Tribolium castaneum: one gene and its partners. The protein of the gene in region 3 purifies or fractionates together with the protein of the main gene of each other region. This does not show direct contact. Links are inferred from orthologs where the notes say so. Each region holds a gene or a part of one and is shown on either strand. Other genes may lie near its edges.

Region 1 (3,278 bases), on a different chromosome or scaffold from region 3:
GAATCATTTTTCAATTTTTCATAAAATTGTGCGTTTGTACTAGTTTTAATAAAATCACCAGAAACGTTATGTTGAATAAAATGGTTAACATTACTTGTATATTTTATTAACGAAATGTCGGGGACGTAGACACCTTGTTATTGTAAGACCGCTGTGTAAACCCACTCCGAAAAATGGGCGCCCTTGCGATATTTTTTGTGTCAATATTAAAGAGTATTTTTGCTGCAGTGCCAATTGAACGAGCTGAAAAGTGCCCAAGCCCCCTCGGCCCTCCGTTCAACCCTGCTCGATCCTGCCGTGAACTGCATCCTTCAGCAGCTAAAAACCGAGCTCCAATCGACCCGTTCCGAGCTTGAGGACACCAAGAACGAGCTAACGGCGTGGAAATTCACCCCCGACTCGAACACGGGCAAACGCCTGATGGCGAAATGCCGCCTCCTGTACCAGGAGAACGAGGAACTCGGCAAAATCACGAGCTCGGGCCGCATCGCGAAGCTCGAGAGCGACCTGGCGCTGCAGAAGAGCTTCTCCGAGGAGGTCAGACAGAGCCAGAACGAGCTGGACGCGTTCCTGGCCGACCTGGACGAGGACGTCGAGGGCATGCAGAGCACGATCCTGTTCCTCCAGACGGAGCTGCGCAAGACGAAAGAGAGCGCCCAAGTGCTGCAGAAGGAGAACAGTACGCTCAAGCTGGCCAATGGGCGGTCGAACGGTGACAGTGTGTGTGAACAGGAACGGACGGACTCGGACTCCGAGGCGGAGAGGACTACTTGTGTGAAACGCGTGCGAAGGTCGTCCGTCCTCAGTATCGACTATAACGAGGACGACGCCCTCGTCATCAGCACGAACGGTGACGTCGCGATGGCCTCCGACCCAGAATAGTGAGCTGAGATTAACCCAACTATTACGCATATAAACTGACGAACAGTATATTCAATTGTACATAGAAATATACTAGCCTAATGTGGTTGTTTCGAATTGTGACTTCAATCATTACTAAATTGTGTTGATCACTGCGGTGCAGTTGCAGAATTTTTTCTATTAGTTTTGGCAACAATGCAATATTTTATTACTTTCCCCCATTCAAGGTGTTATCAAGGTGCGCTTTTTTATCCATTGTTCGCATTTTATTCATTCGACCGACTCTGTTTTAAATTTGTCAGATTGTATCATTTTTTAACGTTTTTATGTTGAAAGTTGTATTTATAAAATAAAACAAAAATTATATCACTTATTATTGACCACGGTGTTTTACTTGTAGCTGCGGGGGTGCAAAATTCAATCTCCCACCGTTGGTGTAGCAGTTACAAACTTAAAGTCACCAGAACAGCGCTACCAACATCAAGTGGTCGTAGTAGCGTCGTTTTGCTAATTTTCCACAATTACACAGTTTTTCATGTAGTTTTCATACTTCCGCGTTAATACAGTGAAAGGTTTTAGTTCTAAACTTGTCCCGACTTTACAGGAATCAAGAATAGTCAGAAATGTGAGTATTTACGTTTTGAGGTTATGTTTGTAGTCCGGGAGGGCTTTCCACGATTTCCTTGTAGTTTTAGCACATTTTAACTCCCATGCATCACTTGTGTTTGCTCGATTTGCTTCCTTCAAGGTTCTTCAAGATCAAGATAATTTGTATTACAACAACTGACTTGTTTGTTCACTCCCGGACACCATTACTTTTTACAAATTTTTTGAGTTGGTTTTTATTGTTCTTAGGGCAAAAATAGGTTCTGATACGGAAAAGGACGACAAGGATAAGAAGAAAGAACGTGGTAGGGACCGTAAACGGAAGAGTGAGTCTGGTTCAAGCAGCAGCGATAGCAGCAGAAGGTAACACCCGAGTTTGAAGAGTTTGTAATCACCTAAAACACTTGATTTAGTTCTTCCGACAGTAGCTCGTCCAGCTCGCGCTCTTCGAGCAGTTCCAGTTCGGGCAGCAGTTCCCGCTCGAGCAGTTCCTCCTCGGAGTCCTCAAGCTCAAGCAGCGATAAAGACCGCAGTCGCCCCAAACGCCGTTCGCGCTCCACCAGCAAACCCACCCGACGCAGCAAAGAGCGCAAAGACAAAGACAAGGAAAAGGAGAAGGAAAAAGATGTCAAAAAGGACGATAAAGACGAGGTCAAAGACAAAGACGTCAACAATCGCAAATCCCCAGCGAAAGACGACAAAAACCACACCCGTGGCAAGTCTCGTTCGCGCTCGCGCTCAGACCGGCGCAAAAGGCGTCGCAGGTCCCCCACGCCACGCCCCACGAAAATCCACATTGGGCGTTTAACACGCACCATCAACAGGGAGCACATTATGGAGATTTTCGGGACGTATGGACCAATCAAACATGTGGATTTCCCCAAAGACCACATCCACCCACACTTGGGGCGGGGCTTCTGCTACGTGGAGTTCACCAATGCGGACGATGCCGAAAACGCGATGAAACACATGGATGGGGGGCAAATTGATGGACAGGAGATCACGGCGGCTCCGGTGCTTGTACCCAAGCCGAGACCGCCCCCCATGAGGCGCAGCCCCATGCCGATGCATATGAGGAGGCCTCCGCCCCACAGACGCACCCCGCCCAGATTCCGGAGGCGGAGCCCCATGCGACCGATGAGGAGGAGCCCGCCGAGGAGGCGCCCCCATTCCAGGAGCCCCCCGCCCAGGCGCAGGAAGCACAGCCGCTCCAGTTCGAGCAGTTCCAGATGATTTTTTCGATTTTAATTTTTTAAGGTATTGTAATGCGTGAAAAGGAATAAAACCGGAATTAAGGTATTGATAATCAAAGATTGATAAATGATAAAATTATTATTTTGTCATATTGGTATTACCACGTATTGCCTATCACATAACCTAGCTTTCTTCAAATAATTGTTACAAATGAAATTGATGGAAAATTGATGAAGATGACTCGTAAATCGTTTAAGTGATGTCTGTCTCACATAATTGTGATGAAAACCGCCGAAATCTCTTATCTGAAGTAATAATTTATTTTGACATAACCTCAAATTTAGCCTTTGCTCCAGGTTGAATCAGCAATATCTAACAATGACCTTGCCACCCTCAAGCAGCTTTTACCGCACCCTTTTGACCAAACCACCCTTCAGGACGAAAACGGCAACAACCCTCTGCACTTATCCATAATTTACGAAAAGTATGATCCCCCCTAACGTTCAGTAAATCCCTACCAAGTCCTGGTTTCAGGAACGCAATTTTTGACTACTTGCTTGATAAATTCGACTTGGAGGCGCAAAACCACTCCGGACACACAGCCCTATCCCTGTCCC
Region 2 (4,300 bases), on a different chromosome or scaffold from region 3:
GTGCCGCTTCCAACTTCTCTTCCATCCTTTCAACATACTCTTCAGTTGGTTTCTCGTTATCAGATTGCTTCTTCTTCGAATCCTCATCTTCAGACTCACTTTCGCTGCTTTCAGCCCGTGCTAGTTTCTCTCTAGCTTCAGCTAGTTCACCCCCTAGCTTAATCACGTGTCTGTTCATTTTTTTAATAGTCAGATGTAAAATTTCCCACAAGTACATTTTGGTGAATTCGGCCGTCATCTCTTTGGAAAAAATCCAATTAGCGACCGCTGAACACTCGACAATTTGAATTTTCAACATTTTGTCAACTAAAACGACCATCATTTGTTGGTGGTGGTGCCACAATTCGAACATGTTTCGTAAAACGCAAATTTGAGCTTCCTCCGACTCTGCTAAAATCTATCAAAAAAAAAGTGATTTAAGACACAAATGTTCAAGCCTGAGTACCTTAAAAACGTAAAGAAACTTGGAAATCGCTGCAAAACTGTGCGAGAAGCTCTTCGACCCTAAGTTGAGTAGAGTTTGCACAAAAACGTCGATTTTGAGAGGATTAAATCTGCTATCAGTCTCTTCTTCTGAACGGGGGTTTGGGAGGTCCTTAAGCACCCCTAGGACCTCCTCGGGGGTGCACTTCTGACGTATTGACACCACCAATTGATGGGCAGCCGTAGTACCCGGAAGTGACGCTAAAACACGATTTGTTATGCATGACAAAAAATTTCATAATTTTGGTTTCGCCACGACGGAAGCTGGATTTTTTCACAACTCCTCATAATCCTCCGTTCCACTTTAAATAAATGAATTATTCAAAAAAACAATCCGTTTAATACAACAAAATTGTTTTCCGCAAACCGAAACGGAAAAGAAAAATTAATAATAGCGGAAGACCACCGACCAGAAAATCCAATATTGTTGCAAGTAATCATAACGGAAACGTTCGTTTTTTCTCGAACGCATATAATCGTATCCCTTTCTTACGCAAGCTGCAATGTATAGCTATTTTCTCGTGTTAATTGGTCAAATTCACGCACGTTTTACTTTCGGACTTTTTCCTTTAAATTACAAGAATCACTTCATACCGTGACCATTATGTCAAATTTGCTCATTGTGATGATTGTTTCAAACAATTGTAATCTTCATCGTGTAACATGCACTTTCGTTATTGTTTTTCGTTTCGAAATCTCCAAGCGTAAAGATGCGACTTTGCGATATCGCCGCTGACTTAAAATCGGTTCTTTTCAGAGCAATTAAGTTCAAGGTGAAACTGAAGATTCGTGAGCAAAATTACGAATTAAAAGAAAAAAATAAGAACGATCGTAAACATCTCTGGTTTCATAACGCGGAGATTAAATCAAAGGTAATGAATTTGTGCAATAAAAATGAAAATATTCTACCTCAAGTACTGAATTTTACGCAAATAGGGTCTTAGGTAACACCACAAGGTTTCAATTAGCCACGCTTTTCGGTGAAAATAAAATTTCTCTATTTTCCTTCGAGTAACATAAAGAAAAAAAATGTTTTTGCAGAAATTAAATCAACAAAAATCCACCATCAAAGAAGAAGGTAAAAAATAAATTAAATTAAAAGTGCGAGTCCATTATTTATCGTAATGAAAATGCAATTATCAAGATGTTGCGACAATACAAATTCATCATAGAATTGCCAATAAAACCTTGCTAATAAATTTTTAATTAAAAAATCTCACTTCGGACAATACTTTTTCCGAAGGTTTAATTTTAACAAACCCATCACTCTTAATAAAAATTTCAAAACTTCATTGTTAATGAGAGTCATTTTAGTTAATTACTGTCGTGCCAAATTAACTTGTCCGAAAATAATAATTCGGGTTTTTTCTTAAAACCCCGAGATAATTATCTTGGCATGTGTCTAAATTAAGTAATATAATATGCACATTGCACACACAAGAAAAAAATAATTAATATTCATCAGTGCGCAGAAAAGTAGACAATGTATTAGCAATTATGTCGAAAGCTTCTAGGATCATCGGTGGGGTACTCTTCAATCTCTCTAAGTAAAAAGATTTAGTTGTAAGAAACCGAGCGAACTAGTGACATGTGCAGCTTTCAAACATTTGCAAACACCCAGTGGGTCTAAAATGGGACACTTCGAAATAATCTTCATTTTACTCTTGGTAATTTTACCACGACTAACAATCCCATTCAAGTCCAAGGTTATTAAAAAATGAAAACTCTCATTTTCAGACTCTCCAACTATGGGAAACTGTATCAATCACTCGACCCGTGCGAAACTTTCATCCTCCCACCGACTGGGAATTGGGGCTGCGTGAGTCCGTGCATCAGGCCCTCCTCCGGGAACACTACACCGACCCGGGGCTCCGCGACCGCCTCCTGGCAGCCCCTTTTATCAACCGACAGGACGACGCAAGTCCTTTCGGAGACATCGCCGTTCTGGCACGAGGACAACTCTACATAACCCCTGAAGGTTTCAAATTTGTTCAAGACGTGGACTGTGATTGTCAAAGATGCCTCACGTCGCCCCAATGCCAGTGGAAAACCTTCGGTCACCATAAACTACTCGCACTGTGGACGGTGAAGCGGATAAGACATCGGGACCCCCATTATGGGCACGTGTACGAAATCGAGTACACGATTTCGCCCATCACGCACACCATCAGCGAGGATTTGGTCAAAAGACATGGGTTTTTTAACTATAACGTCCCGGGACACATTTTCGTGATTAAGAGCGATCCGGGTGTGAACACAGTTGGACAAAAAGAGTGGTTCAAGAAAGAGGAAGATCATGGACACTACAAACCCGGAATTTTAATACAAATGACCCCGGATGGGTACAAACACGTGTTGCACAGTTTTCCCGGATTTTTCACTTCATACCACGACCAAACAACAATCGATCCAAAAGAATACGAACTGTACAAAAAATTGATCGAGTCATTGGCGGCGAAAACATCAAGTGGGCCTCACCGATTCTCAGTTACGACTCCTACGACTACGACTTTTGTCGTAAGTGAAGGACAATTAATCCCGATTACGACTTTACCGACCCAAAGTTATACAAAGTCGCCGAAACCCATCACAACCATTCATTATTACACTCCGGTTGAGACAACAACGGAAAAACAAGACGAGAGTTTTGATATTTTTTCGGAGGCGTTACGCACAACTACTACGAAAAAAATTACGACAAGTGAAGAACGAGTTAATTTGTTCCCGGTTAGTCCAACCGAACCGATGAAACCGGTTACGGAAGTTCCGAAACACACACGACCGGATTCAATCAGTGAACAACTTCCAGCCCCTGATCGAAACGTTGAAACTACAATTCCGTACGTTACCACGACTCAACCTTCGGTTAGGAAAGAAGAAAGTACCACAATTGAAAAAGTACCGTATACAGAGCAGAAAACTACAATTATTGGGCCCTTTACGACCGAGAGGGTTAAAAGTACTACGTTTTATACCACTGTACCGAAAAGTAGTACGGTGATTGAGGCGGTACCCGTTAGGACTTTACACACTTCAACCAGTCCCAAAACCACTTCGACTAGCCCCAAAACAACTACTATAATAGAAGCAGTTCCCGTCAGAACTCTGCACACGTCAACCACTTTTCTACCATCGTCTAGCCCCAAGACTAGTAGTTATGAAACCACAGTAATAGAAGCAGTACCCGTTCGAACTTTACGACCTACAACTGGTCATGATACCACTTTTTCCACATCATCCAGCCCCAAAACCACCAGTTATGGAACCACTGTGATAGAAGCAGTGCCAGTCAGAACTTTGCACACTTCAACCAATCAAGGCACTACTTTTCTACCACCGTCTAGCCCCAAAACTAGTTACAGAACGACTCTAGTAGAAGAAGTACCAGTTAGAACGCTACACACTTCAAGTAGTCCTAAAACTACTACCACAATCCAAACAATACCCACTACAACTCCATATGGTTCAACTACTATAGTAGAAGCTGTACCAGTCACAACCCTGCAAGGTTCTACTATCATAGAGGCGGTACCTATCACAACTCCATACCTGTCAACTAGTTATGGTACGACTGTAGTAGAGGCGGTACCCACTACAACTCACCCGAAAAATACGTACGAGACAATAGCAAAAACACCCAGTTATGAAACCACTATACCAGAGATAGTACCTACGACCACTCGGAGTCGAACGAGTTATGGTACCACTTTAGGAGAACCCGAATCTGTGACAACCCACCCTAAACCCACCACAGTCACGGAATTTTATTTCGAATCAAAGCCAAAAACAACAGTAACGCAACAAAAATTCACAATCC
Region 3 (3,517 bases):
GTTTTTTATTAGCAGTTTTTATTGAACTTTCTTCCGGATTTATAAATATTTTGAACTTAAATTTGGGAGACTTCCTGTTGTCGTAACAACTTGAAATTTTGCATGTCCACGTAACTTTTGGAGCCCTATTACGTCATGTACTTCGATTCTCGATTAAAAAATGTGCAATGCTATTTCGGTTCCTGATGGAGATACGGGAACAGGACCTAGCCTATTCGATAGCCCAGGAAAAATACTACGGGGCGGTAGGGTTTTCAAAAGGGCAAAACCACCCCTCTATCTCCTACAGGAACGAAGATATTTCGCATTTTGTGAAATACAAGATTTCCTTAAATTTCTATAAAAATTTTGAAATGTGAAAGAAAATTTTAGGTTGTTTACAAAATTTTTATAAAAATTGAAGAAAATCTTGTAATTCACAAAATCTTAAATATCTCCGTTCCTGTAGGAGATAGAGGGGTGGTTCTGCCCTTTTGAAAACCCTACCGCCCCGTAGTATTTTTCCTGGGCTATCGAATGGAATAGGTCCCGTTCCCGTATCTCCATCAGGAACCGAGATAGCATTGCACATCTTTAAATCAACAACCGAAGTACATTACGTAATAGTGCTCCAAAAGTTATGTGTGCATGCAAAATTTCAAGTTGCTACGATAACAGGAAGTGTCTTAAATTTAAGTTCAAAATATTTATAACTCCGAAAGACAAACAAAGCAAGTTGAATAAAAATTCTAATAAAAAACTACAGCTTGTTTGTTCACAGACTTTATTTAATGCGATTTATTTTGAATCATATTTTACGAGTTAATTTTGAGGCACTTCCTGTTGTCGTAGCAACTTCAAATTTTGCATGCACACGTAACTTTTGGAGCACTATTACGTCATGTACTTCGATTCCCGATTAAAAAATGTGCAATGCTATTTCGGTTCCTGATGGAGATACGGGAACGGGACCTAGCCTATTCGATAGCCCAGGAAAAATACTACGGGGCGGTTGGGTTTTCAAAAGGGCAAAACCACCCCTCTATCTTGTACGAGAACGAAGATATTTCGCATTTTGTAAATTACAAATTCTATAAAATTTTTACTAGATCTTTATTACATTTTTTAGATTACACAAAAAAATTAAAACCAAAAAACGTAAGCGGCGACATCTGAGTATGGTAGGTCAAAGTACATGTTTACAGTAATCTAGAAAAAAATTGTGTGCCATCTATGGGTTGCTACAGTAACCTATAAATTGTATTTTTTTAACAGTATGCACAGGCAACCAATTATACAAGACAATCTTGTATATTGCCTACTATTAAGTGGACGCCATATTTTTGTCAAATGTCAAAAAACGCTAAAAGACGTAGCGACTCGCGTGCAAACAACATTAAACGGGCGAAAAAGTGTTTAAAAGTTAGTAAAGGTGAAAAATAAGTGTTTTATTTCTCTCAATACTACAAACAAACCAGTTGGGGACGTGCAAGTGGCCCCAAAAATGCAAACACCTTTGTGAAAGACAGGTGCCCCAAGTGTTGTGCTTCAGTGAACTGGACATTCAATTAAATCATCTAAACTTTACTTTAACACACGTTCTAATTTCTGACGGAGGCAATGGCTGTCGCAAAACCTTCAAACCGCAATGCGGCTTTCGAAGACTTGTCGAACGTTGAGTTCGAAACCAGCGAAGATGTGGAAGTCATCGAGCAATTTAAGAATATGCACCTGAAGGAGGAGCTCCTTCGCGGTGTCTTTGCATATGGTAATAGGAAAATGTGGGTCAGTGCGGCTCGGATTGAGGTCATTGCTTTCAGGTTTTGAGAAACCATCAGCTATCCAACAGAGGGCTATCAAGCCGATAATAAAGGGCCGAGATGTTATCGCTCAAGCCCAGTCAGGTACCGGCAAAACGGCCACATTCTCGATCGCTATTTTGCAGTCGCTTGACTTGCAAACGCGGGAAACCCAAGTACTTTGCTTGTCGCCAACGAGGGAGTTGGCCGTGCAAATCCAGAAAGTTATCCTGGCTTTGGGGGACTTTATGAACGTGCAGTGTCACGCCTGCATTGGTGGGACCAATCTGGGAGAGGATATCAGGAAGCTGGATTATGGGCAACATGTTGTTAGTGGAACACCTGGAAGAGTTTACGGTACTTATAATTATCTTATAAATAATTTCCCCTACCAAAAAACTTAATTTTCAGACATGATCAGACGGCGCGCCCTTAGGACCAGGTCCGTCAAAATGCTGGTTTTGGACGAAGCCGACGAAATGTTAAACAAAGGCTTCAAGGAGCAAATCTACGACGTTTACAGGTTCCTGCCGCCCTCCACTCAAGTCGTGTTGATTTCTGCGACTTTGCCCCACGAGATTTTGGAGATCACGTCGAAGTTCATGACGGACCCGATCCGTATTTTGGTAAAACGTGATGAATTAACTCTTGAAGGCATCAAGCAATTTTTCGTCGCGGTTGAGCGTGAGGAGTGGAAATTTGACACACTTTGTGACTTGTACGATACTTTAACCATCACGCAAGCTGTTATCTTTTGCAACACTAAACGCAAAGTCGATTGGTTGACTGAAAAAATGCGCGAAAACAATTTCACCGTGAGTTCCATGCACGGTGATATGCCCCAGAAGGAGAGAGATAATATTATGAAGGAGTTCAGGTCGGGACAGAGTCGTGTACTTATCACGACCGATGTGTGGGCGAGAGGTATCGACGTCCAGCAAGTCAGTTTGGTCATTAATTACGATTTGCCGAACAACCGTGAGTTGTACATTCACCGTATTGGGCGATCTGGCAGGTTTGGTAGAAAGGGTGTTGCGATTAATTTCGTCAAGTCGGACGATATCAGGATTTTGCGGGATATTGAGCAGTATTATTCCACACAGATTGACGAAATGCCGATGAATGTCGCTGATTTAATTTAAACGAATAACATTTTTTATGTCCTTATATTATGTAAGAAGTTTGTGTAATAATTAATTAATTAATATGGGAAGTAATAAACGACTATGATTTTTCCTACTCCTAATATTTCTCTCGCCAAATTAAAATCAGAATGACAAATATTCATACCAGAAAATGCACTAAAACTTGAATTCTTTGTATTTTTTCGTTTGTTTTGTGTCCTGTTGTTGGCGCTTGCGTTTATTCTAAAACGAAACAATTAGGTAAATCAACAAATTACACAATATGTTACCTTTTGTTTGGCGACGTGCTCAGCTAACATATCACTGAGATCTTCCTTCTGCAGCTGTGACTGGTTTTCCCTCATTTGTTGTTCGTAACGAACCGCCATTGCATCGCTATCCATATCCAACTCAGACGGATCAAGAGCCAACTCAACCATTCCTTCCTTGTCCCCTGGTTTGCGACTAGTTGCAGGGGCTGCGCCCACAGCAGACATGTCGTAAACGTGGCTGCTCCCCATCATGGAACCACCTATTCTCTCATTGCGTTTTTCGGGAATGACATGATACAAAATCGGGTTTTCACCCCTACAAAACAATTTAAAATACCCCCCT

Evidence for each region.
Region 1: the proteins of eukaryotic initiation factor 4A-III (region 3) and RnpS1 fractionate together in Homo sapiens (co-fractionation; 3 studies listed by BioGRID and IntAct, with this or other methods). This does not show direct contact. The link is inferred for Tribolium castaneum from reciprocal best matches to the Homo sapiens genes EIF4A3 and RNPS1.
Region 2: the proteins of eukaryotic initiation factor 4A-III (region 3) and Cbp80 purify together in Homo sapiens (co-immunoprecipitation; 3 studies listed by BioGRID and IntAct, with this or other methods). This does not show direct contact. The link is inferred for Tribolium castaneum from reciprocal best matches to the Homo sapiens genes EIF4A3 and NCBP1.

Annotation. Positions count from the first base shown.
Region 1 is NC_087399.1:5,873,613-5,876,890, forward strand, and holds RnpS1 (RNA-binding protein with serine-rich domain 1), read left to right. Parts: upstream 1-1,327; 5' UTR 1,328-1,484; coding exon 1,485-1,486; intron 1,487-1,716; coding exon 1,717-1,830; intron 1,831-1,880; coding exon 1,881-2,700; 3' UTR 2,701-2,778; downstream 2,779-3,278. Other genes in the region: fl(2)d (pre-mRNA-splicing regulator female-lethal(2)D), read left to right, coding at 229-882; ankyrin-3, read left to right, coding at 2,921-2,971, 3,018-3,145, 3,196-3,278. UniProt on the Homo sapiens protein: Part of pre- and post-splicing multiprotein mRNP complexes. Auxiliary component of the splicing-dependent multiprotein exon junction complex (EJC) deposited at splice junction on mRNAs.
Region 2 is NC_087397.1:5,580,077-5,584,376, reverse strand, and holds part of Cbp80 (nuclear cap-binding protein subunit 1), read right to left. Parts: coding exon of another isoform or gene 2,221-4,300; intron 2,151-2,220; coding exon of another isoform or gene 2,115-2,150; exon of another isoform or gene 2,001-2,114; intron 685-2,000; coding exon 446-684; intron 398-445; coding exon 1-397. Other genes in the region: mucin-2-like, read left to right, coding at 2,115-2,150, 2,221-4,300. UniProt on the Homo sapiens protein: Component of the cap-binding complex (CBC), which binds cotranscriptionally to the 5'-cap of pre-mRNAs and is involved in various processes such as pre-mRNA splicing, translation regulation, nonsense-mediated mRNA decay, RNA-mediated gene silencing (RNAi) by microRNAs (miRNAs) and mRNA export.
Region 3 is NC_087396.1:14,194,579-14,198,095, forward strand, and holds eukaryotic initiation factor 4A-III, read left to right. Parts: upstream 1-1,311; 5' UTR 1,312-1,599; coding exon 1,600-1,747; intron 1,748-1,799; coding exon 1,800-2,135; intron 2,136-2,189; coding exon 2,190-2,920; 3' UTR 2,921-3,017; downstream 3,018-3,517. Other genes in the region: Sf3b2 (splicing factor 3B subunit 2), read right to left, coding at 3,080-3,145, 3,193-3,490. UniProt on the Homo sapiens protein: ATP-dependent RNA helicase. Involved in pre-mRNA splicing as component of the spliceosome. Core component of the splicing-dependent multiprotein exon junction complex (EJC) deposited at splice junctions on mRNAs.